Arabidopsis thaliana: one gene and its partners. The protein of the gene in region 1 interacts with the protein of each later gene in a pairwise test. Each region holds a gene or a part of one and is shown on either strand. Other genes may lie near its edges. The genes, in order: PGLCT, AT3G05350, EDS5 and NHX3.

The links.
Region 2: the proteins of PGLCT (region 1) and AT3G05350 interact in a protein complementation assay, tested with the Arabidopsis thaliana proteins (one large-scale study listed by BioGRID).
Region 3: the proteins of PGLCT (region 1) and EDS5 interact in a protein complementation assay, tested with the Arabidopsis thaliana proteins (one large-scale study listed by BioGRID).
Region 4: the proteins of PGLCT (region 1) and NHX3 interact in a protein complementation assay, tested with the Arabidopsis thaliana proteins (one large-scale study listed by BioGRID).

Annotation. Positions count from the first base shown.
Region 1 is NC_003076.8:5,270,769-5,276,349, forward strand, and holds PGLCT (plastidic GLC translocator), read left to right. Parts: upstream 1-1,707; 5' UTR 1,708-1,885; exon of another isoform or gene 1,886-2,126; 5' UTR 2,127-2,135; coding exon 2,136-2,391; intron 2,392-2,534; coding exon 2,535-2,649; intron 2,650-2,721; coding exon 2,722-2,789; intron 2,790-2,901; coding exon 2,902-3,034; intron 3,035-3,117; coding exon 3,118-3,217; intron 3,218-3,317; coding exon 3,318-3,430; intron 3,431-3,511; coding exon 3,512-3,605; intron 3,606-3,679; coding exon 3,680-3,833; intron 3,834-3,951; coding exon 3,952-4,098; intron 4,099-4,173; coding exon 4,174-4,247; intron 4,248-4,351; coding exon 4,352-4,440; intron 4,441-4,523; coding exon 4,524-4,638; intron 4,639-4,727; coding exon 4,728-4,910; 3' UTR 4,911-5,044; downstream 5,045-5,581. Other genes in the region: AT5G16140 (Peptidyl-tRNA hydrolase family protein), read right to left, coding at 1-27, 103-153, 243-310, 394-478, 558-749; AT5G16160 (uncharacterized protein), read right to left, coding at 5,045-5,087, 5,171-5,324, 5,405-5,468. UniProt on the Arabidopsis thaliana protein: May be involved in the efflux of glucose towards the cytosol.
Region 2 is NC_003074.8:1,527,893-1,535,663, reverse strand, and holds the start of AT3G05350 (Metallopeptidase M24 family protein), read left to right. Parts: upstream 1-1,754; 5' UTR 1,755-1,820; coding exon 1,821-2,147; intron 2,148-2,302; exon of another isoform or gene 2,303-2,403; coding exon of another isoform or gene 2,404-4,764; exon of another isoform or gene 4,765-4,996; intron 4,997-5,407; coding exon 5,408-5,533; intron 5,534-5,635; coding exon 5,636-5,755; intron 5,756-5,858; coding exon 5,859-6,134; intron 6,135-6,253; coding exon 6,254-6,426; intron 6,427-6,499; coding exon 6,500-6,754; intron 6,755-6,984; coding exon 6,985-7,136; intron 7,137-7,239; coding exon 7,240-7,430; intron 7,431-7,541; coding exon 7,542-7,650; intron 7,651-7,738; coding exon 7,739-7,771. Other genes in the region: AT3G05365 (uncharacterized protein), read left to right, coding at 572-678, 957-1,096, 1,194-1,288; RLP30 (receptor like protein 30), read left to right, coding at 2,404-4,764. UniProt on the Arabidopsis thaliana protein: Catalyzes the removal of a penultimate prolyl residue from the N-termini of peptides, such as Arg-Pro-Pro.
Region 3 is NC_003075.7:18,183,799-18,189,726, forward strand, and holds EDS5 (MATE efflux family protein), read left to right. Parts: upstream 1-1,638; 5' UTR 1,639-1,941; coding exon 1,942-2,356; intron 2,357-2,946; coding exon 2,947-3,041; intron 3,042-3,125; coding exon 3,126-3,234; intron 3,235-3,325; coding exon 3,326-3,381; intron 3,382-3,465; coding exon 3,466-3,521; intron 3,522-3,623; coding exon 3,624-3,762; intron 3,763-3,856; coding exon 3,857-4,063; intron 4,064-4,137; coding exon 4,138-4,377; intron 4,378-4,463; coding exon 4,464-4,541; intron 4,542-4,667; coding exon 4,668-4,739; intron 4,740-4,844; coding exon 4,845-4,907; intron 4,908-4,998; coding exon 4,999-5,100; 3' UTR 5,101-5,426; downstream 5,427-5,928. Other genes in the region: AT4G39020 (SH3 domain-containing protein), read left to right, coding at 62-135, 218-292, 426-542; AT4G39040 (RNA-binding CRS1 / YhbY (CRM) domain protein), read right to left, coding at 5,451-5,519, 5,600-5,818.
Region 4 is NC_003076.8:22,468,717-22,474,599, reverse strand, and holds NHX3 (Na+/H+ (sodium hydrogen) exchanger 3), read left to right. Parts: upstream 1-1,893; 5' UTR 1,894-2,014; coding exon 2,015-2,179; intron 2,180-2,289; coding exon 2,290-2,408; intron 2,409-2,505; coding exon 2,506-2,603; intron 2,604-2,711; coding exon 2,712-2,771; intron 2,772-2,869; coding exon 2,870-2,916; intron 2,917-2,997; coding exon 2,998-3,192; intron 3,193-3,272; coding exon 3,273-3,319; intron 3,320-3,424; coding exon 3,425-3,491; intron 3,492-3,587; coding exon 3,588-3,688; intron 3,689-3,772; coding exon 3,773-3,874; intron 3,875-4,136; coding exon 4,137-4,281; intron 4,282-4,396; coding exon 4,397-4,459; intron 4,460-4,570; coding exon 4,571-4,654; intron 4,655-4,750; coding exon 4,751-5,047; intron 5,048-5,205; 3' UTR 5,206-5,355; downstream 5,356-5,883. Other genes in the region: SVL1 (SHV3-like 1), read right to left, coding at 185-323; AT5G55460 (Bifunctional inhibitor/lipid-transfer protein/seed storage 2S albumin superfamily protein), read right to left, coding at 5,467-5,480, 5,587-5,883. UniProt on the Arabidopsis thaliana protein: May act in low affinity electroneutral exchange of protons for cations such as Na(+) or K(+) across membranes. May also exchange Li(+) and Cs(+) with a lower affinity.

The DNA of each region.
Region 1 (5,581 bases):
ATTTGGTAAAGCCATCTCATCGTAAATCTAGTAGAGAGAAACAAAAGTGTTCATATGGAACATAGTTCTGGATTCAAGGGATGCTTAAGTCAGTGACTTTACCATTAAAATGTGGCGCAATGGTACTCGATAGTGTGAAGCTAGAGATCCAACCTTTAAAACGACAACAGAACAGTTTCAGGTATGATGATTATTTGATCACGCAGCTGATCTTTGCAAAGTTATGAACAGAAAATACAAACCGATTCGCCGCTGAAGTTCATATAAGTCTGAGGTTTAGCCAACAAGATAGGTACATCTTCAATAGCACCTGTACTGATTCATACATAGAACCAAAAAGTCATCAGTTTTATTATTCTTCAAACCAAAGAACCAAAGCAAGAGAAGTAGAACCTATTCCGATTAGAGCTTTGGACTGTATAGTGTTCATCAACACCCCTTCTTTTCTAGCCAACACATCGATCATCTCGAAACCAACCTGAAAACAACACAAAGTTGTAGCATTGCCAAGATCAAATCCAGCAATTAAGTAAAAGAAAAAGATTGTGTATCATTACATTGTGTCTTGTTCCATGATACTTGTTTCCTGGATTGCCCAACCCAACGATAAGCCAAGGAGTGTACTCTACTTTGAATCTATCATCCTCACCACCAGAAGTAGATGAACAAACCCGAAACCTCTGTTTCCGGAAAACTGGCTTTTGCGTTTGAAAATGGTAAACACTTGGTGTATACGTTGGGCACAACATGGAACTGTTGTTGATTCAAAGACCTATTGAAATTGAAATGACTAGAAACTTTGAGATTCAATACTTGGAATATACATAAAGATAAAAGCTTTTCAGGATATAATGAAATTCGAAATCATATAACAACTGAGAATCAAAACTTAATGAAACCCATTAACAGAGATACAGCGCAGATAAAAAATAATTGAAGTGTAATCGAACAGAGGACTCAGCAAAATTTCTGGAGAATCAGAGATTAGCAATGAGCTACAAGGATTACACAAAAATGTATTTGTGGTTTATATTATGTTATAAATTTTCAGTAGAAGAAGGATAAGTGAGAAGGAAAATAGCTTACCTCTTCTTCTTCAGGATTTTTCGAAACAATTTCGGAATTTTCTTTTGCGAAGACGTTGGAACGAGATAGAAGTAGAACGATGAAATACTGAGACGAAGATGTTAGAAATTGGTCCCGTTTTGTATTAATGGGCTTACTAATATTAGCCCACAAAAATGATGGGTTAAATAATAGTGGCCCAAGTTACTATGATTTTTATACGTCACCGTTACTATGCTCAATGGCGGCACGTGAGTACTATTGAATAACACGTGCGGCTATATACGTCATCCAAAATCTAATCCAGAAAATCCAACGTTGCCAAATCGCCAATCCTGCGGCTCTTACGTAACTCTTTTACTTCTTTTTTTCTTACCCTTTTATCGACTAATTTATGTCGAATAATAATTGTAAATAATTTTCTCAATTTATAAACTCAAAAAAATTTCCTAATTAGTCCCGCCACTTAGTTCGATTTAGTTGATACTGGTTGATTTATTCAAATTTCCTAGCAAATATTACAAAATTACCAATCCAAAATTGAAAGTTGCATCACATGCATTAAATTTCATGATTTCTTTAAAATAAGAAATGAAAATACTCTATTTTCCGTATGGTTTTGGATAAATATGAATTATTACACAAAAATCCAAAACTAATAAGGAAACAAAATTGCATTATTTATTTTTTGGTGCGTTTTAATTTTTTTTTTTAAACGACAATAAGCTCCACAGTGAGTTCTTCTCAGCAATCACAATCTATCTGGTTTAAGCCCTCACTATCCTCTCTCTCAAATCGCGGAGTCTCCGAAGTTTCTCTGGTAATTTTCAAATCTGAAGTTTTGCTTTGGATATCACGATTTTTGTTAATCAGCCGCGATCGAGAAGAGCGTTTTTACTCTCTCGTTCGCATCAATGCAACATATTTCCCAATTTCGTGATGTTGCGTCTTCATCGTTCCTTACTTCTCTCTTTTTGAGTTCTGTTTGGTATAAATGCGATCCTTTTTTTTCCTTCCTTGCCTAATATTTCTCGTTTCCTTGCAATTACGGTTATAAAAAGTCAGACAAAATGCAGTCGTCAACGTATGCGGTTAAAGGAAACGCTGCGTTTGCGTTTCAGAGACGGACCTTCTCTTCTGACAGATCGACGACTTCTACCGGAATTCGCTTCGCTGGTTATAAGAGCTTAGCCACCACCGGGCCACTCTACTGTTCTGGTTCTGAAGCCATGGGAGCGACGCTTGCTCGTGCTGATAACGGGATCCAGAGCGTTATGAGTTTCTCTTCTGTCAAAGCTCGATCGGTCAGAGCTCAAGCCTCATCTGGTTCGTCTCTTCTAATGCTCTTCTATCTTTGTCTATCATTAGATTCTGTGATTGCTTACAAGTTCTTAAATACAATTTGAAGAATCTAATGTATAGTTTGGGATTTGGACTAATCATCTGATGGTTTGAGGAATGAAATGTAGATGGAGATGAAGAAGAAGCTATACCTCTGAGATCTGAAGGGAAAAGCTCTGGAACAGTTTTGCCTTTTGTTGGTGTTGCTTGTCTTGGTGCTATACTCTTTGGTTATCATCTCGGGTATGACTAAATACTACACTGTTTTTATCTTGGTGTGATCATGGATGATGATGTTCTATTGGACTGAATCAGGGTGGTTAATGGTGCTCTTGAATATCTTGCTAAGGATCTTGGGATCGCCGAAAATACTGTTTTGCAAGGCAAGTATATGATGATCCACTTCTTTACTCCTCCTGTCAACGGTAAAATGATTCGTGTTTTGATTAGTAGCCAAACTCATAATTGGTATTCTCTATGATTGGTGTTGAGCAGGATGGATTGTTAGTTCTCTGCTTGCTGGTGCTACGGTAGGTTCATTCACTGGAGGTGCATTAGCTGACAAATTTGGACGAACAAGAACTTTTCAATTGGATGCTATCCCGCTTGCCATTGGAGCTTTCTTATGGTAAATTTTCAAGCACTAAGCCATACCTATTGGTGAGACGTTAATTGATTTCTTAACGCATTGGTTCTTTTTTTATTGATTAGTGCAACAGCTCAGAGTGTGCAGACTATGATTGTGGGACGTCTGCTCGCTGGAATTGGAATTGGAATCTCATCAGCGATTGTACCACTTTACATATCTGAGGTTGTTTAAATACTGATTTTCATTATTTTTGCACTTTTAGCATAAGATGTTAGATTTGTTTATATGTTATGTCTCTGAAGCGTTTGATGATGGTTGTCAGATATCACCAACTGAAATCCGTGGAGCACTCGGATCTGTGAACCAGTTGTTCATCTGTATAGGAATACTTGCAGCCTTGATAGCTGGATTACCCCTTGCAGCAAACCCTCTATGGTATGTAACATCCCTTTTTTATTCATCATCTTTTATTTTGGGTTGCATACTGTGATAAGTTTTGATATCGTGGTCTTCTAGGTGGAGGACGATGTTTGGTGTTGCAGTTATCCCTTCCGTTCTATTGGCCATAGGAATGGCTTTTTCTCCAGAAAGCCCAAGGTGGCTCGTTCAGGTACTCTCAAGGAACAGATCTCAACACTTAAAATGAGATCAATTTTTGACAAGTCAAGGAAATCAATTTTGCAGCAAGGAAAAGTCTCTGAAGCTGAAAAGGCGATCAAAACTTTGTATGGTAAAGAAAGAGTGGTTGAACTAGTTCGCGACTTATCAGCCTCTGGCCAAGGTTCTTCTGAGCCGGAGGCAGGATGGTTTGATCTATTCAGCAGCCGCTACTGGAAAGGTATAGCAAGACTTGGTGGAGATACATTGTTTAGTTTGTAATAAAAGCTGACGGATTCCTTTCAAAGGTCATATCGGATTGATCAATTTACATAGTTTCTTGTCTGTTCTTGTTGTAGTTGTAAGCGTAGGTGCGGCTCTCTTCTTGTTTCAACAGTTAGCCGGGATAAACGCAGTTGTGTATTACTCCACATCGGTATTCCGTAGTGCGGGAATCCAATCAGATGTTGCAGCCAGTGCTCTCGTTGGAGCATCAAATGTCTTTGGTTCGTTTCCCCGTTATGTTCTCATTAAATTCCAAAAATAACCAAAAAAATAACACGATAAAAATCTGGTCGCAGGCACTGCTGTTGCTTCATCGTTGATGGATAAAATGGGAAGGAAAAGTCTTTTACTGACAAGCTTTGGTGGAATGGTACATGTTTTTATTAAAATTCTTAGCCATATTCGAAAATCTCAACCCTCATTAGTATTACCACAACAGGACTAACTTGGATTTTATGGTTTTGTATTGAAAAGGCTTTGTCAATGCTGTTACTCTCCTTGTCCTTCACATGGAAGGCTCTTGCTGCCTATTCTGGAACCCTTGCCGTTGTTGGAACTGTTCTGTAAGTCAATCTCCTCTTAACACTTCCTTATAGTCTCTCTGTATAGGACTTGACTGACTCTTATGCTCGGTTGTTTAAATCAGATATGTCCTGTCATTCTCACTTGGTGCTGGCCCGGTACCGGCTCTTCTTCTTCCAGAGATATTTGCATCCCGAATCAGAGCAAAAGCCGTCGCTCTTTCTCTCGGCATGCACTGGGTATATACATATATCTATAGGTTTTATGGGTTCAGAACAGAGTTTCTTCTCTCTGTTTCTAATGTTTTGTTTCTCTTTTGCCCTAACAGATATCAAACTTTGTGATCGGACTATACTTCTTAAGCGTTGTGACTAAATTCGGAATCAGCAGTGTCTACTTGGGTTTTGCTGGAGTCTGCGTCCTTGCGGTCCTCTACATTGCAGGAAACGTCGTCGAGACTAAAGGTCGATCACTGGAGGAAATAGAGCTTGCTCTTACATCTGGAGCTTGAAATTAAACAAAAGAAATCAGCAGAACAAAAACCAGTTTGTTTCATCATTTAGTTTGTGAGTCTTTCTCTAATCTGCTACTCTTAAATTGTACAATGGACGACGTTATCAATAACGAGAAATCTTTTCATGACCACTACATGTTGGCTTTCCTTTCCCACCTCTCCCTGGTATCTAGCCTGTTTCAAAACAAAAAAAGCATGGCATTAGCACGGTTTTCTCAATATGAAAAAGAATTCTAAAATTAGCGAAATAAGCTCACCCCCAAAACAGTTTTTGTGGCTTCTTCGGTACTGTGACTACTGTCTTGTTATGATTCTGTTCTTCTAAGGTAGAAGAAGAAGAAGAAGTTGGTTCTTTCAACTTTTTAGAGCTTTCGCCATCTTCGATCGCTTTACTCTGAGAATTCTTGCTCGCTGCATTTCAGTGTAGAGCTTTTAGTCTAGTGAATATGAACTGAGAATTCTCAAAAAAAGAGAGCTAAATATATATATACCTTTAGGTTTCTTCTTATGAATCTTTGCATTAGCTTTTATTTGCATACGTCTCTTGTGTAGCTCCTGTAATCTCAACACAACCAAAATGGCTTCAAATTCAAATTGCTATGTACATAGTAATTCGGTTGAAAGAAAAAAAAAAAAAACTGGATTGAACAGTTGATAGAAATTCGAAT
Region 2 (7,771 bases), on another chromosome or scaffold:
ATTAGTTCCAACTTGTAAAAATGGTTGCAGAACAAAATGATGAGGAAGTTTTTTAGTATCACATAAGTCCAGATTCAAGTTTTTTTCAATTGTATCTAAAACACACACAACTTTCAGATTGAATAAAATCTGAATTTCATTCTCAGCAGAGGCTAATATAAAAATGACAAAAGAAGAGGAGGAGGATAGGAGCTATATGTCTACTATTTTTATTTTTTTAGCCAATGAGAGAGCTCCACTTCATACCCCACTTTTACCAATCGAGCGATTTCACAACCAGTCTCACCCATGTCGCGTTGAGCGCGTGTCTACGATTTCTAAAGGGGTTTGTCCACAGAAATCATGCCTTTTTTGATCCACGCAACTCACTCTCAAAAATCCATCGCGTGTCTTATTTTTTTTGGTTTTCTTCTCTAAACCAAATTAAACCGAACCGAGATCAATTTGAATTTCAAAACCAATGTAAACCCATCAAACCCATCGCTGTGAAAACAAAAAGCTCGGCCACTGTAACAACAAAAATGGAGACGACACAACTTGGAAGAGAAATCAACTCTAAATAGCCAAGAGAATGTTCGAAAACCCCCTCAAATCCGATGCTTCCTTTGATTCCAACCTCCAAAAGCCCATCTGCTCAAATCTTCATTTCGAGGATGAGGACTCGAGGAGTATTACAAGGTACCTCAATAGAATCAATGGCTTCCATGGATTTTGAAACTTTACTTCTAATAAACACCATTGTAATGTCTTGTTGTGAAGTTGTGTAAGGAACAAAGGATAGTGAAAGCTGAAGAGTGGGATTCGTTTATGGAGTTTCAGAGTTTTTTTTGACTAAGTGGCCTCTGTTTTTGATTCTTCAGTGGTCAATTTTGTGATGGGATTTGATTGAAATTGGAGAATGATTTCATGAAATCTCTTCGGGCTGAGGTTGATTCATGACTCTTTCATTTTTCTAGTGTCTCATTGATGATAGACATAAGAAGCATACTTAAGGCCATAGAGAGTGGTGAATTGGAGGCAATCAAGCCTTTGCCTTGGTACCCTAAGAATCTTTCTTTTCACGGAAGGAGATTAGAAAAAACCAGATACTTGAGAGGTACATTTTCATGCCAGTTGCTTCAGAACAAGTATTCACTTCCATTCCCTTACTTGTGTTAGTTCAGCGCTTGAGAAATATTATGATCTTGTTTCAGACTTTCAGCTGTCAAGAGACAAGGCCCGTTTTACTATCAGGTTAAAATCATGGTCAGCTTCTTGTCCCAAACCACATTGTTGCAAGGTTTTGTAATAAATCTTGGCTCGATAATGCATTCAGAAACTTCTTCTACTCATATCTCAAAATATGTTTTGAATTCTAAACCCCATGGTTATCAATATAAAGAATATTAGTATCTATTTTTCTCTTTTCTGGTGTGGTTGCAATTTATCGTTTGTCTCTTTCGTGGAAACCCTTAATTCAGGCGGTATTAAGTCTTTCTCATAAAACTTTCTAAGTCAAACCAAAATTCCAATCGAAATTCTCAGCATGAAAGTCTCGAACACGTTTACATTTCTTACGCACCCAAAGACTCTTGCTTCTTGCACACGTCTCTCTTGGCTGTCCTTTACCATAACGAATTTGATGAGATTGTTTCAAAATAAAATGTTTCTTTTTGACAAGTCTGGGATTTTAATGTAATTATCAATAGTCATGCACATTATACAACATTTAAAAGAATACGGGGGTTGTTTTGCAATTTTCAGTAGTTATACACATTTATCCGTAATCACTCTGCTCAAGAAGCTTCTCCTCTTGTGTGATTCTCCTGCAATCGCTGGTGATGATTCCTCTAACTCTTTCGTCGCCGTCTCTGAATCGGCTCGTTTTATCCACATCACGTTACTCACACTCTCTATTTCTCAGCAATTTCAATTCGCTCTCTCTGATCCACCGGAAATTACCGTATAAACCTCTTTTTGGCGCAAGGTGTCATGCTAGTAGCAGCAGCAGCAGCTCTTCCTCCTTCACGGCAAAGTCTTCCAAAGAGATTCGTAAAGCTCAAACCAAAGTAGTTGTCGACGAGAAGCTTAGCTCGATCCGGCGACTGTTTTCGGAGCCGGGTGTTGGAATCGACGCTTATATCATACCTTCACAAGATGCACATCAGGTTCTCTTTTTTTAAACCTCTTCTTAACTCGTGATTACGAATTGAATAGGAAGTTCTAGTAGATTCAAAACTGTTCAATTGTGTGTGTTTTTAAGTCAATTATTGGTCCAAGTGGGCAAGTTTGACTATAGAAAGGAGTAGGTAGAAGTCTACTAGAGAGCTGCAAATTTGTGTTTTGTTTTCTATTTTTCTCTCTCTCTAAATAGAGACGTAGAAGCCATAGCTATCATAACCTGTTACTTACAAAACAAACAAAATGATTCCAAGCCAATCTAATTCCTTTTCTGGTAGTGTTATTACCTTGTATTTCTTCCTCCTGGGTTCCCTTGTTCTACGCACTCTTGCTTCTTCTAGGCTTCACTATTGCCGCCATGACCAAAGGGATGCTCTTCTCGAGTTCAAACACGAGTTTCCGGTAAGTGAATCGAAGCCAAGTCCATCGTTGAGTTCATGGAACAAGACTAGTGATTGCTGTTTTTGGGAGGGTGTCACGTGCGATGATGAATCTGGCGAGGTGGTTTCACTTGACCTTAGTTATGTCCTTCTCAACAACTCTTTGAAACCAACTAGTGGTCTTTTCAAACTCCAACAACTCCAGAACCTGACTCTCAGTGATTGCCATCTCTATGGAGAGGTTACTTCTTCACTAGGAAACCTTTCTCGTCTCACGCATCTTGACCTTTCGAGTAATCAGCTGACAGGTGAAGTTCTGGCTTCGGTCAGTAAGCTAAACCAACTTAGAGACCTTTTACTTTCCGAAAACAGTTTTAGTGGTAACATTCCTACTTCATTTACCAATTTAACGAAGCTTTCTAGTTTAGACATCTCTAGCAATCAGTTCACATTGGAAAATTTCTCTTTCATACTACCAAATTTAACCAGCTTGTCCTCCTTAAACGTTGCCTCTAATCACTTTAAATCCACGCTTCCATCTGATATGAGTGGACTCCACAACTTGAAATATTTTGATGTGCGTGAGAATTCATTTGTCGGGACTTTTCCTACATCCTTATTCACGATTCCTTCGTTACAAATTGTTTATTTGGAAGGAAACCAGTTCATGGGACCTATAAAGTTTGGGAATATATCTTCATCTTCTAGGCTTTGGGATCTAAACCTTGCTGATAACAAATTCGATGGGCCAATCCCTGAATATATATCTGAAATTCACAGTCTCATAGTACTAGATCTTAGCCACAACAACTTAGTTGGGCCAATCCCCACTTCTATATCAAAGTTGGTCAACCTTCAGCATCTTAGTCTTTCAAACAATACCTTGGAAGGCGAAGTGCCAGGTTGCTTATGGGGATTGATGACAGTGACACTTTCCCACAATTCTTTCAACAGTTTTGGAAAGTCATCATCCGGAGCTTTGGATGGAGAATCAATGCAGGAGTTGGATCTTGGTTCGAATTCACTTGGAGGACCTTTTCCCCATTGGATCTGCAAGCAAAGGTTCTTAAAGTACTTAGACTTGTCCAACAATCTCTTCAACGGCTCAATTCCTCCTTGTTTGAAAAATTCCACTTATTGGCTTAAAGGGCTAGTTCTGCGTAACAACAGCTTCAGCGGATTTCTCCCAGACGTATTTGTCAATGCTAGCATGTTATTATCACTTGACGTTAGCTACAACCGGTTGGAGGGAAAACTTCCAAAATCCCTGATCAATTGCACTGGTATGGAACTTCTGAATGTGGGAAGCAACATAATCAAGGACACTTTTCCATCCTGGTTGGTTTCTTTGCCATCATTACGTGTCCTCATCCTCAGATCTAATGCATTCTATGGGTCGTTATATTATGACCACATATCTTTTGGGTTTCAACATTTGAGACTCATTGATATATCACAGAATGGCTTCAGTGGAACTTTGTCACCTTTATATTTCTCCAATTGGCGTGAGATGGTGACATCTGTCTTAGAAGAAAACGGCTCTAATATAGGTACAGAGGATTGGTACATGGGCGAGAAAGGGCCCGAGTTCAGCCATAGTAATTCGATGACTATGATATATAAAGGAGTAGAAACGGACTTCTTGCGGATCCCATATTTCTTCAGAGCCATTGACTTTTCTGGAAACAGATTTTTTGGGAATATACCTGAATCCGTTGGTTTGTTGAAGGAATTGCGTCTTCTCAATTTGTCAGGTAACTCATTCACAAGCAATATCCCTCAGTCATTGGCAAATTTGACAAATCTTGAGACATTGGACCTATCCCGGAATCAGCTATCAGGTCACATCCCTCGAGATCTTGGTAGCCTCTCTTTTCTGTCGACCATGAATTTCTCCCATAACCTTCTCGAAGGTCCAGTTCCACTAGGCACTCAGTTTCAAAGCCAACATTGTTCTACATTCATGGACAACCTCAGACTCTACGGTCTTGAGAAAATCTGTGGAAAAGCTCATGCCCCGAGTTCTACACCACTAGAATCCGAGGAATTTTCGGAACCAGAAGAACAAGTGATTAACTGGATAGCAGCGGCAATAGCCTACGGACCTGGTGTGTTTTGTGGATTAGTTATTGGACATATCTTCTTTACTGCACACAAACACGAGTGGTTCATGGAAAAATTCCATCGAAACAAGCGCAGAGTAGTCACCACAAGTGCTCGTTGAACACCATCACCTCTCACAATTTCTCTGAGTGATTGTGAAACGTATATGTTTGTTATGATATCTGTCAGTTGTGTTATGCATAAACTCTTTGTCTTTGTAATTTTCTACTTTATGGTATTGTAAGAAACGGCTTTGGTGGTATCTGATCTTCTATATGTTGGGTTGAAAATGCATTCAGATTTTTCTTCCTAGTCAAATCTCAACTTGTCATAAGAGGATGTTTCAATTGTAGAGCCAAATGGAAGTTCTTCTTCTTCTAAATCACAGTATGAAATTCTCCAACTCGTGTTTTATTTCATTCTCCCCAAAGTTTCTTGCTCCGCTCACACGTCAATCTTGCTGTCCCTGAGTATACCAAATTCGATTTGGAGATTCAAGATAAAAAATAAATATGATTTGGACCAGTGCGGGGGTTGTTATGCATCTATGCAATTGTTTTTGCCATTTTGATATGGGTAATGTGTTGTTTCGGTGAATTTTACATACTAGGAGCTTAAGATCTACTTTCATAACTGATGTTGCCTGTAATATATTTCTGTGCCATTAGGAAAGTCACAAATTTATGTTTTACTTCTAAATGTATCCATAAACTGCCTGAGTTTTTCATGGCTTGAGTGTGATTTTTCTCCATATTTTGTACTAGAGCGAGTTCATCGCAGAGTGCTATGCCAGGAGGGCTTATATATCAGGATTTACTGGAAGTGCTGGTACCGCTGTTGTCACCAAGGATAAGGCAGCTCTATGGACAGATGGCCGCTATTTTCTTCAGGTTTTGATCATTATCGTCCTTTAAAATTATTTGATTGCCATCTCATATTGAAAGGAAATGTGGAGTTTCTTATCTACATTCTCTGCAATTATTCTATCAAAGGCGGAGAAGCAATTAAACTCTAGTTGGATTCTCATGCGGGCTGGTAATCCGGGAGTCCCCACGGCGAGTGAATGGATAGCTGATGTTTTGGCGCCTGGTGGAAGAGTTGGTATTGACCCTGTAAGCTATTATTAAACCTTCTAAATTGTGTCTCCTTTTGTCCTTAAATATTGTAGTTTGTGGTTTGTTATTTACAAGACTTTGGAATTCATGAAGGGAGCAGTTCCTTTTTTCCGCCGATGCTGCTGAGGAATTGAAGGAGGTTATAGCAAAGAAGAATCATGAGTTGGTTTACTTGTACAATGTAAATCTTGTGGATGAGATATGGAAGGACTCAAGGCCAAAGCCTCCAAGCAGACAAATAAGGATACATGACTTGAAGTATGCTGGTTTAGATGTGGCCTCGAAATTGTTGTCTTTGAGGAACCAAATTATGGATGCTGGCACATCTGCCATTGTAATATCCATGCTTGATGAGATTGCATGGGTGCTTAATCTGGTAATACTCTAGCATAGCATCTTACATTTGAATCTGTTAGTTTTGTGCCACTGATATCAGCTTATCCTTCACATAGGTCCCAATGTATTGATGTTGTATTCTGCCTCTTCTGACTGCAGAGAGGGAGCGATGTTCCACATTCACCTGTAATGTACGCATATCTGATTGTAGAGGTTGACCAAGCCCAACTTTTTGTAGATAATTCTAAAGTAACGGTGGAGGTGAAAGATCATTTGAAAAACGCAGGGATCGAACTTAGACCTTACGATTCCATTCTTCAAGGAATAGATAGGTAAGTACTTGATTGTCCATGTCCATTTATGAACTTCAGAAAAAGGAATTTCCCTCACTTTGAGTTTTCTCAGTTTGGCAGCACGAGGAGCTCAGCTCTTGATGGATCCATCAACCCTCAACGTAGCTATCATTAGTACCTACAAATCTGCCTGTGAAAGATATTCGAGGAATTTTGAAAGCGAAGCCAAAGTTAAGACAAAGTTTACTGATAGCTCCAGCGGATATACTGCCAATCCTTCTGGTATTTACATGCAATCTCCTATTTCGTGGGCAAAGGCCATTAAAAATGATGCTGAGCTAAAGGGAATGAAGAATTCTCACTTGAGGTAAAGAAAGCCATTGCTTTTACGATATTTTCCTAATCCAACTGCCTTTATAGGATTCAACTTTTCTCTGGAAGATTTTGGTTTCTTTTGTACTTTCAAATGCTAAGTATCTTAGGCTGACCAAATATATATGGAGAAATGCTGCTGCTCTAGCTCATTTCTGGAAAATTTTGGTTTCTTTTTTTCCTATGTATGGGAAATGTCTTTGGCTGACCACTTATTTTATGCAGAGATGCTGCTGCCCTAGCTCATTTCTGGGCTTGGCTGGAAGAAGAAGTGCATAAGAATGCGAATCTAACAGAGGTCGATGTGGCTGACAGGCTTCTTGAATTCCGTTCAATGCAAGATGGTTTTATGGATACAAGCTTTGATACAATAAGTGGTATGGTTATTGTCACCCTTGTTGGTGGAACTTGCTTCTTAACACATAGTCAATATACAGCCAGTGAGTGATATGTATTCCTTTCCTCTAATTACCCATGCAGGTTCCGGTGCAAATGGTGCTATTATACATTATAAGCCCGAGCCTGAGAGCTGCAGTCGTGTAGACCCTCAAAAACTTTTTTTGCTGGATAGTGGCGCTCAATATGTTGATGGAACAACAGACATCACCAGAACAGTACATTTTAGTGAACCTTCTGCCCGTGAAAAGGAATGTTTCACTCGAGTCTTGCAGGTGGAATATTTGGCTCTTCTTTTCCTCATCATTTTTGATGACCATTGACTACCTATATTGAACAGACGAACCTGTATGGGTTGCCTTGTCTGATTGGTATTTTGGTTGTAGGGTCATATAGCTCTTGATCAAGCCGTGTTCCCAGAAGGTACTCCTGGTTTTGTATTGGATGGGTTTGCACGCTCTTCTCTATGGAAAATTGGACTTGATTACCGCCATGGTACTCTATTCTATCTTTTGACTCTTCTTCCCAGAACAACTTTTTTGTAAGGAACTCATATTACTCTGATATTTTGCCTGCCAAACAGGGACAGGACACGGCGTAGGTGCTGCACTCAATG
Region 3 (5,928 bases), on another chromosome or scaffold:
GAAGCAACTCAAACTCCACAAGTAGAGAACATCACATCTTCGCCTCCTCTTTCATATTAAGAAGCCAATGATGGAGTCAATGCTTCTCAAATGCATAATGGAACATCAGACGCCATGGGATATTTCTTAGGAGAGGTTGGTGTACTTTAAAATGTCATCATTTTATGGTCGCAAGAACTTGATTAATCTCTTGAGTTGCCTATCTTTTTCCGCACAGGTCATGTTTCCATATCAAGCTGATTCAGATTTTGAGCTCAGCTTATCAGTTGGAGACTATGTTGTTATCAGAGAGGTTAGCATTCAAATCAAAGCATATAAGATACCATTCTTTCGCGGCTCAGGACATCGAATAACGGAAAGAATCTTAAAACTCTTTTTTTTTTTAATCTCTGTGGACTCATTCACATGTCTTTATGATGTTCCAGGTAGTGAGTAGCGTGTGGGCAGAAGGAGAATGTAAAGGCAACGCGGGTTGGTTTACTTACATCTACATCGAAAGAAGGGATCGTGTCTTCGCAACTAAGGTCATCGAGGTCTTCTAGTGGCTTCTTTTGGTGTGTTTCGGTGACTTTTGTTGCCATTGTTGTTCTGTATCTAACTTTTTTTTTTTTTTTTTGGTCAAAAATTCTGTATCTAGCTAGATTTCTTTTTCTTCCTCTCTTTACTTATACACAAGATCTGATCATTGAAGCAAAATAAATCTCATCTCCGATGATCTAACAATAATTTCCATAATTCAAATGCTTTCAGAAAGGATTTCTCAATACAGGTTAAAAATATCAATCTAATCTTTGCAAACTCATTAAACTAATTTAGTTACTTTCCTTAACTTTAAGAAAACAAATCTCAAATTTTGTGGCTATACCACCATTTTCATTGAAACTAACTACTCAATTAACGGTCTGAAAGAGGACAAAAAGATTTTCACAAGTGTACACCAATAAAAGAAAATCGTTTTTTTCCCTTATAAAATGACAAAAATTACCAAGAAATTAAATGGAACATAACTTACGACGAAATTTACCTGACGATTTTTTTTCCTTACTGAAAATTACCAAGAAATCGCGTGGAAGTCGGAAATGTTACATACTTTTCTTTGTAACTACACTGCGAAAGCAAAAAAAAAAAACATAAAGTCAACCTTTTGGGAAAATTGTCGTCTTTGACATCAGAAGAGATTCAAACTAAAATGAATGAGTACGTTACTTGCGTTATGGTTGGGTTTTCCTTTTTAATTTTAGAAACTTTTCTTACTTATATTTTGAATCAACAGTTGATAACACAAGTATAAATTATTATTTTCGCCATCACACTGGAGTCAAGCTCGAGAGAGACTTGTTTCCTAATTTAATTCATAAACTTGTTTCGACAGTGAATATATACATCTTCGAAGAAATAACACCATTGACTTAAAACCAAAATAAATAACAATAGTCTTATAATTTATATTATTCACACTTAAAATTAACAATACAAGTCTTTTCAAAGTCTTTTAATTATATAAACAATAGAAGTCTTTTTCATTGTCTCTTTTTGACTAATTAATAAAGACCATGAAAAGACTTGTATTGTAAGTTTTGAGTGTAAATTGTAATAAATTACTATGGTTTTGTTTGTTTTATATTTCTGCCATCTAAATAATTACATTATATGATAAAATAATTACCCTAGCGACAAATGACAGCTAGAAATGTAATAAGAACACCAACTAAATAATTATGCAGGTTAATAATGGAGCAAGTGATGTTCTTTCTATATACTGTACATTTTCTTTTTAAAAAATTATGTAATTTCGCAGAAGAGAAAAGAAAAACACGTGGTGATTAGAGAGTAGTATAAAGATAGTTGGTTGGGTTCTGTTTTTTTCTGTATCTCGAGGCGCCAAAAACAACAACAAAAAAAACTTCAGAGCGGTGATCAGATTCACCGATTTTTCTCAAAATGCTAATCAAATCCCAAAGATTGACTCTTTTCTCTCCTCTCTTGTCCAAAACAAGACGGATCCCGGTTAACTCCCACCAAACACTGGTCGCAGAATCGGTGATAACTCGGAGAACACTCGGTGCGATCACCGCAACTCCGAGTTTTCATAAAAATCCGGTGGTGATTCGACGGAGGATCAAATTAGAGAGAGTTACGAGGAACTGCGTCAGAATTGATCGGGAAATCGACGAAGAAGAAGAAGAAGAGGAGAAGGAGAGAGGGGATCTGGTGAAACAGAGCATATGGGAACAGATGAAAGAGATAGTGAAGTTCACAGGTCCGGCGATGGGGATGTGGATTTGTGGACCGTTGATGAGTCTCATCGACACGGTCGTCATCGGCCAAGGAAGCTCCATCGAACTCGCTGCTCTTGGTACGCTTTTCAATCATACTTGTCTTTCCGGTTTAGTAGCCAATTTTGAACCGGTGGACTGGTCCCCTACCCAATAGCTAAGCTGTAAGATTCATACACTGTTTTTGGTTCCTTTGTTTAGTCTCTTTCGAATATATTACACAGATTTGGAACCAATAATAGTTTTAAAAACAGGTAAACAAATTAGGCAAGTGTCCAGCTATATCATCTTATTATTTTAATCATTTTCCAAGCCAATCATTAGATTTGTGTCGGTTTACCAACTTCGAAAATTTAGTAGTTGTGTAACGTTTTTCACGATTCTTCTAGACAGAAAAAAATATAATCGGTAACATAATTAAAAGAACAAAATACATATGTTAAAGTTAAATATGTTGGTCTGAAGAAAAGGCAAATGGTTTTAGTCTCGTTGGTCAAAGTTAAAGACCGTTTTCAAGCATTTGATTATACAAATTTGACTAGTCAACGCAAGGCTAACTAACATAATTCAATGGTTAAAAAAGAAAAAATTGTTTGATTTTTGGTGAGAATACGGTAAATAATTGTTAGTATATTTTATATGATGGCTGAGAAAATTACCGGTTTAATAGGACCGGGAACAGTACTATGCGACCACATGAGTTATGTCTTCATGTTCCTCTCCGTGGCTACATCCAATATGGTTGCTACTTCTCTTGCCAAACAGGTTATTTACTTTTTACTCTTTCAACTTTGTTTTCTTCTTCTTCTGATGTCGAAACATCTCAAATGTTATTTATATTTCTTGCAGGACAAGAAAGAAGCGCAACATCAAATCTCTGTTTTACTCTTTATTGGATTGGTTTGTGGACTAATGATGCTTCTGCTCACAAGATTATTCGGTCCTTGGGCTGTTACTGGTAAACATTTTTTAGTACAAAAGTATGTTTCCGTTTTAAGAAATATTTGAGTGAAATGTGTATTTACACTCTTGTCATGGTTTTTTTGCAGCTTTTACAAGGGGGAAGAACATTGAGATTGTCCCTGCAGCTAATAAGTATATTCAGGTTCTTGTTCGTTTGATCATTCTCTGTTTCAAATTCTTCTGATGAATGGTGTCTCTCTTTAACTGGAATCTCTCTGTCTCGCAGATTCGAGGCTTAGCGTGGCCGTTTATCCTTGTTGGATTGGTTGCTCAAAGTGCAAGGTTTCTTACACTTCCCTTCTTATTAATCAGCTTTAACGTTCGATGTTCTGTGTCGATTTTCCGCCTCTTTATTACTTAATTTGATGTGAGAATCTGTCTCAGTCTTGGAATGAAGAACTCATGGGGACCTCTTAAAGCATTAGCTGCAGCAACGATCATTAACGGTCTTGGCGATACAATCCTATGCTTGTTTCTTGGACAAGGTATCGCTGGAGCTGCTTGGGCAACAACTGCTTCACAGGTAATATTAATTATAGTATCATGAAGCCCAACACTTGAAATGTAAATGCAGAAGATTTCATTACGGATTTATGTGTTTGTGTGTTATGTTATAGATTGTTTCGGCTTATATGATGATGGATTCTCTGAACAAAGAAGGCTACAATGCTTACTCTTTTGCGATCCCTTCACCGCAAGAACTATGGAAGATCTCTGCACTCGCTGCACCTGTTTTTATCTCCATTTTCTCCAAGATTGCTTTCTACTCTTTCATAATTTACTGTGCTACTTCCATGGGAACTCACGTTTTAGCCGCTCATCAGGTACATTACAAAACAGAGATCTTTATGCCCAGTCATGTTGGTGTTGTATATTTATAATTGTGGTTTTATTACAGGTGATGGCTCAGACGTATAGGATGTGCAATGTATGGGGTGAGCCACTCTCTCAAACGGCTCAGTCATTTATGCCAGAGATGTTATATGGTGCGAACCGTAATCTTCCCAAGGCTAGAACGTTGCTTAAGTCCCTGATGATTATTGGAGCCACGCTTGGATTAGTCTTGGGAGTTATCGGAACAGCGGTTCCAGGCCTGTTTCCTGGTGTCTACACACATGATAAAGTCATCATATCCGAGGTCTGTTTTTGTTTTTCAAATCAACATTTGTTTCCTGTGTTTTTGATTCTAACTTGGTCTAATCTGATTCTTGATATGTTTGCCAGATGCATAGACTGCTTATACCTTTCTTCATGGCGTTGTCTGCATTGCCCATGACAGTATCCCTCGAGGGTACATTGCTGGTAAATTACAAACTCTTGTTCGATTAGGTGGTTTCTTGAGAAGCAAGCAGCTGAATAAGTCTCTATATTTTTCAATCTTGAAACAAGATAGTATGCTTAAACCAAAGGTTGTTTCTTGTTCACCAGGCGGGACGTGATCTCAAATTCGTCAGCTCAGTGATGAGTTCAAGCTTCATAATTGGTTGTCTCACACTAATGGTACTTTATAGAGTCTCTCATAAACCTTAACTACGTTTATTAATCTTCAAAGACACTTTCAATTTGAGCAAATCTAAAATACTTTTTTGTTGTTGATAATGACAGTTCGTGACAAGAAGTGGCTATGGTTTACTCGGCTGCTGGTTCGTTCTCGTCGGATTTCAATGGGTAAAGACAGACATACACAGCAACATTTTGTTATCAGAGATTTTCTCTTTATCCAAATCTGTCTTTAACCAAATTATGGTTAACATTGCAGGGCCGGTTTGGTCTATATCTACGACGGCTTCTTTCGCCTGGAGGCATACTTAATTCAGATGGGCCGAGTCCATACACGGTGGAGAAGATTAAATCCATTTAAGTCTCAGTTTGATGATCTCATTGATTATCTAAGAGTTTGCCAACAAATGGCTAATTATGATATATCAGGCACCAATGTCAAGAAACGGCTAATTATTGTCAACTTTTTTCTTTGGTCAGAGGCTCAATGTAAATTTAAAGCATAATAGACAAATAATATATACAAGTGTGGTTAGTTCAATCAGTTAGAAAAGATCAAATTCACTGATAGATCGACTCTTCACAAAGCTTCCCAGCAAAGGAGAATTTGGCATAAAAGATCAATGTGATTGTATTTCTAATTGTATTATTATTGGAGAAATGAAAATGCATCACTACTCTTGAGATGAAAACAAACAAACGGGTAAAAATTTAAGCCGTTGGAACTCTACTTCCGCCTCTGCGTCCACGTCCATCAGGTCTCTCTGAATACTCTCTTCTCTACAATAACCAAAAGATTGAATGATCTTCAAACTCAAAAGAATAGAGAGTAAATACGCCATGTTTTCAGGGTTACTTACAAAGGGTTTAGTGGGTCTAGTGTTTGCGTATTTCTGCCTTCTAGTAATTGACATTCTCTCAACTTCCTTCTTCTTCGCCTCTGCTTTCATTTTGGTGGGACTGGGCCTATACAATATCACAGTCCGCCCTATTTGCCCTACTGCTACGGAACCAGTCGCTTCCTCCAAATGCTGCACCGCATCCTCTAGCTCATCGGGCGATGTCTTGCGTATTTTCACCTGTTCCTCATATAAGAATCAACAAGAGACTCGCTCAAGTAAGCCTTGAATGTTTTCCACAGTTTCAATCCATTCTCATAGATCAATCAAACAACAACATTCCTTTCACA
Region 4 (5,883 bases), about 17 Mb from region 1:
CAAAATCCGATGAAACCTATAAGAAAGCTTCGATTTTTCTTTGGATGAAACTCAGAAAACCCCCAAATTTTTCTCTTTGATTTCTATGAAACGATTCAAAAGGAAGCAACTTTTCTACTGATTTATTGATTAACAGTGAAGGGTATTGAATAAATAGGAGAAGAAGGAGATAGAAGACACTAACCAGTGAGTGTTTGCCATGGACTTTTAGATCTTTGAGCAAAGAGTTGAGTAGACAGCAACTGGATCAAAATAAGAGCTAAAAATAGAAACTTTGAAGCTTGTAAGACATGCATTGTTGGATTATCTCGCATGTTTATCATCTGTAACAACCTGAGTTGTCCCGGCGGCGACTTCACCAACTTCGACCAAAAACTGAGATTTACTCAGAGAGAGAGAGAGAGAGAGAGAGAGAGAGAGCTTTTTGGTTTGTGGGATTCGAATTTATATGATCGTTGATTATTTTAAAAGGGAAAACAAAAGAACTTCGACTTTTTGTTTTTGACACATTTTTCCACTTTAAAAAGAAAACATCAACTAAAATTTTATTTTTTTGGTTTTTCATAAATAAACTAAAATGTTTTTCAATGTGTCTCCATATCTTTATTGCAGACAGAAAATATTGGGAGTGTAATTTTGACTCAATTTTTTTTTGAGAATACAAGAGTTTAATTTTCATGGGATAACTAAATAAGTTTTATTTTAAATTAGAATATAATTTTTTGATTGGTTGTCTCCAACCTAGAGAAACCAAACAATTGTTTTACATATATTTGTGTATTTATTTTTTATAGTTATGCGTTCTTCATTTATTACGACCTACTCTCTCTTTGTTTTTCTTTATTACTACCTACTTGTTTCCAAAACCAGCTAAACTATAAGCAAGCATAATAATAAACTATATAATGCATGCAATTGCAATATACATGTGTCAATCATTGGTCTTGTTATAATTAGGATTAGTGTAGAAACGGCTATTAGATATCAATTATATCCCTGCAATTTCTCCCTTAATCACTCCTATAGTAATTGGTGTATATCTGTTTTCCTCTACGGTACCAACAAATAAAAAGTCTACTGCGGGGAACGTATTTGTTTTTCTTGTTTCCTCTTCTCTTCTCTGTATATAAGAAAAATTGTATCATTCTAGTGATACTACCCATTACCCAATACGCATTCCAATAATGGCTACATTTACATATATGATATATGCATATACATATCACATATGAGCAGATTTATTATTTATCTAATATACACATTATATATCCGAATTCTATGTTTTCACGTTAATTATAATATTTACAAGTTTCTTAATTTATATTATAGCTATAATGATACTAGTATCTTAAAAAATGTTGAGAAGGCGGTGGTGGATGATCGATTAAAAGTCAGGTAGGTCCTAGAACATGGTCGTTAAAGATTACACGTGGTGAAATAGGTCGCTGAGTCACTTTTTACGTCATCAAAACACGACCAAACGAAACGATCACGTTCTAGCGTCTTGGCTGTTGCAACCGGGACCGTTACTCAGTAGAGTGTTTTATTTCGATTGGTTCGAGTCTTCACCAAATAATTCGTTGTAATAAATATTGAGTTTTCAAGTTTCATAATTTTATATAAACAGAATAAAGAACAAGAGGTAAAAATAAATTAAGGAAAAAGAACAACAATTTACGCGAGTTAGTTAGACCCAAAAAAGAAAAAAGAAAAAAATCCCCAAATCCGGTAAGAAAAAAATACATGATGAGTTAGTTTTGGGCCCTAAAAAGGCCCAAGATGCAGTACAATTCCAAAAAGCCTCACGTTTACTCAGTCTGATGACGTTGGAAACATGCCACGTGTCTTTCGTCTCCTCGCCACCTGTAACCACCGCCTTGTTCATCGCAGTTCAAATCTCTCCTCACTCTCTGACTCTTTCCTCGTCTCTCTCTCTATCGTTCTCTGTGTGCCTTCTTCGTTTGCGATTGGTGTTTTCAAAATCGACGAAATCGAAAACATTATCGAGTGAAAAATGAGTATCGGATTAACAGAGTTTGTGACGAATAAACTAGCAGCTGAGCATCCTCAGGTGATACCAATCTCAGTGTTCATCGCCATTCTCTGTCTATGTTTAGTTATCGGCCACTTGCTTGAAGAGAATCGATGGGTTAATGAATCTATTACCGCCATTTTAGTAGTAATTTTCTTCAAAATTTCTTCTTTTTTTTGTTTTAGCTAAAGTTTTGAGCTTTTCTGCTCTTAAAGAACAATTTTATCACTATTTTTGATTGGTTTTGTTGCAAGTAGGGAGCAGCATCAGGAACAGTGATCTTACTTATTAGTAAAGGAAAAAGTTCACATATTTTGGTGTTTGATGAAGAACTCTTCTTCATTTACCTTCTTCCTCCAATAATCTTCAATGCTGGGTAAGCTTACTATGGTTTTGGTTACTATGTTGTGGTTAATGGGTTAGATTACACTATGATGGTGATTGACTGAAGATTTTTTGGTTTGTTGTGGCAGGTTCCAAGTTAAGAAAAAGAAGTTTTTTCACAACTTTTTAACCATCATGTCCTTTGGTGTGATTGGAGTTTTCATCTCCACTGTCATTATCTCGTTTGGTAAAAAATATTTCATTAATCTTTGAATGACTTGACTATATGATTTAAAGTTGATTATCTCGGAGTTGTTACCATCTCTATTTTTGTTGTTTTTATAATGTGAACCAGGGACTTGGTGGCTGTTTCCCAAGTTGGGATTTAAGGGGTTGAGTGCTAGAGACTATCTTGGTAAGATTTTTCACTGATCTATGTTTCTTTTCATTTCTTGTTGAGATGGTTATTACTTATCAGTTTGCGAGAGTGAATGCTTTCTTGTTTTGATTCAGCCATAGGAACGATTTTCTCATCAACTGATACTGTTTGCACTCTACAGGTTCTTGATTTAGAAGATTCTTTGTCTTACTACTTCTTCTATTAAAAGTTTTTTCTTACATTGCATCTTAAACTTTTACAGATTCTCCATCAAGATGAAACACCATTGCTATACAGCTTAGTCTTTGGAGAAGGAGTGGTGAATGATGCAACCTCAGTTGTACTGTTCAACGCCGTGCAAAAGATTCAATTTGAAAGCCTAACCGGTTGGACGGCGCTGCAAGTATTTGGGAACTTTTTGTACCTCTTCTCAACAAGCACACTTCTCGGAATTGGTGTAAGCTATTGAGTTGGCATAGTTTTTTACTCTGTTTGAAGCATATCATGAGTAATCTTAGAACTGTGAATGTCTTGCAGGTGGGGCTAATAACATCTTTTGTTCTTAAAACCTTGTATTTTGGAAGGTAAAAGTACACCAAACTTGCAAATTTTTCATCTCAAGCTTAAGTTTTTTTTTTTTAGTGATAAGATGTGCCTTTATATTGATCTTGTTATATGGTTGCTGACAGACATTCTACTACACGCGAACTCGCCATCATGGTTCTAATGGCTTACCTTTCATATATGTTGGCTGAGGTAATACACTGGTCATGAACGCTACTTTTTAGTTTTCATTTGGAATTGAAGTGCTGCATTTCTCTGTTTTAACTCAATATAGTTGTTCTCTTGCAGCTCTTCTCATTAAGTGGAATTCTTACTGTTTTCTTCTGTGGTGTTTTAATGTCGCATTATGCATCATATAACGTGACAGAGAGCTCAAGAATCACTTCCAGGCAATGTATCAGACAATTGTTTATTCGCTGAAGTCTCAATTTGCAGGAATTGCTTTTGTCTGACTGTGCATCTATATTTTGCAGGCATGTATTTGCAATGTTGTCCTTTATTGCGGAGACATTCATATTTCTGTATGTTGGAACAGATGCTCTTGATTTTACAAAGTGGAAGACAAGCAGCTTAAGGTATAAAGTCGTATCCATTTATCAGCTGGTAGAGCGTTTAGAGTGTTTTGTCAAAACAATACACAGCATTTTGATATGAACCTCGTGTATTTCTTAAATGCATACCTAGAATCAAGATTATCCCAAAGACATCCTCTATGTCTTCTTCTCTCTTGACACGAAGTTAATCGCCAATTAACTGTTAGTTAAGCTGTGGTGGTGACTCGTTGTTTCTGAAATCTCTTCCCAATGAAGACTTGTAACATTAATCATCTTCTTGCAGCTTTGGGGGTACTCTGGGTGTCTCCGGTGTCATAACCGCATTAGTATTGCTTGGACGAGCAGCATTTGTCTTTCCACTCTCGGTCTTAACAAATTTCATGAACAGGCACACTGAAAGAAACGAGTCTATCACATTTAAGCATCAGGTTTAGCTCTTGTTTGTTACAGTTACATTATCAGAAGCACTAAAATAAAAAATTAATAATGGTCCGAGAATGGGAAAGTTTCTGTTATATAATTCTCTCTTTGTATACTTTATAGGTGATCATTTGGTGGGCAGGTCTAATGCGAGGTGCTGTCTCAATTGCTCTGGCTTTCAAGCAGGTTTTTCTCTTTGCACATTCATATTATCTCTAATCTCTATTGTATTACTTTTACATTGAATTAGTAACATTTCCATTATATCTCATTTTGGTATATCTTTCATGTGCCAAGTTCACATACTCCGGTGTTACATTGGATCCTGTGAATGCTGCCATGGTCACCAACACCACTATCGTTGTTCTCTTTACTACACTGGTAAAACAAATACTACCTTAGTATATGGCCCTACTGGTTCTGGTAGTTTTCTGTGTTAAGATCAAAAGAATGACTTCTTTGTCATGTAACAAACAGGTCTTTGGTTTCCTCACAAAACCACTTGTGAATTATCTCCTTCCTCAAGATGCAAGTCACAACACCGGAAATAGAGGTAAACGCACTGAGCCAGGTTCTCCGAAAGAAGATGCGACACTTCCTCTTCTTTCCTTTGACGAGTCTGCTTCCACCAACTTCAATAGAGCTAAAGATAGTATTTCCCTTCTGATGGAACAACCTGTGTACACCATCCACCGCTACTGGAGAAAGTTTGACGACACATACATGAGGCCTATCTTCGGTGGACCTCGTCGAGAAAACCAACCAGAATGCTAGGTATACCCTCCATTATTACCACACAAATTTATACATTTTGCAGCAAACGCACCTCACTTGATCAATAATGTGTAACCGGAATTAATAAGTACATCCGGGAAGAGGTGCCTACAATATTCATCATGATAAGCGAACAATTCTCTCTTTTTGTGTTGCAGAATTGATCCGGGTTCTCCGCGGGGAAATCATGATGAGTTAGTTTTTTTTATAGTCAAGAAAGTAGGATAGTTGGTTTAGCTAAAACAGTTTCTTAAAGTTTTTGTTAAATGTATACAACAAGGTTCTTCTATATACACAAGCTGCGATTATTACTGCGAGTTTGTAATTTATTTGGATCGGAACATAAGACATATTGTAAGACTTCAGATCAGTTGCAGGACAAGTTCGAGTGAAGTCTGCTAGAACGGTCTGTCTCCATCTCAGTTCCTCAAAGCTGCACTTACAGAACAGCAAAACGTAAGCCTTTTTTACTTCATACTTCATATTGGGATCCTACTAGTCTACCGGTTTTTAGTATCTTAATGGTATTTTGATTTTACCTTGGCAAGCAGGAGGGATTGTTGTCAGGCCACATTTGCTCAGAAGAGCCTGGACTTTAGATGGGTAAACCGCTAAAACGGGGAGAACAGACTTGAATCTGCAGATGCATTTCAGATTAGCGGCTTGGAGGAGTTCACAACACTCTTTGATTGGAGATGGCGGGTTGTCTCCAATTACGGCTGGACGACATTTTTCCAGATGGTTTGCGTTGATGTTACATGCGGTAATGCTCGTAGGTTCTTCCATCAACACCAAGGCGGCTAAAACTATTGCAAGAGCTGCAAATTTCACAGTTC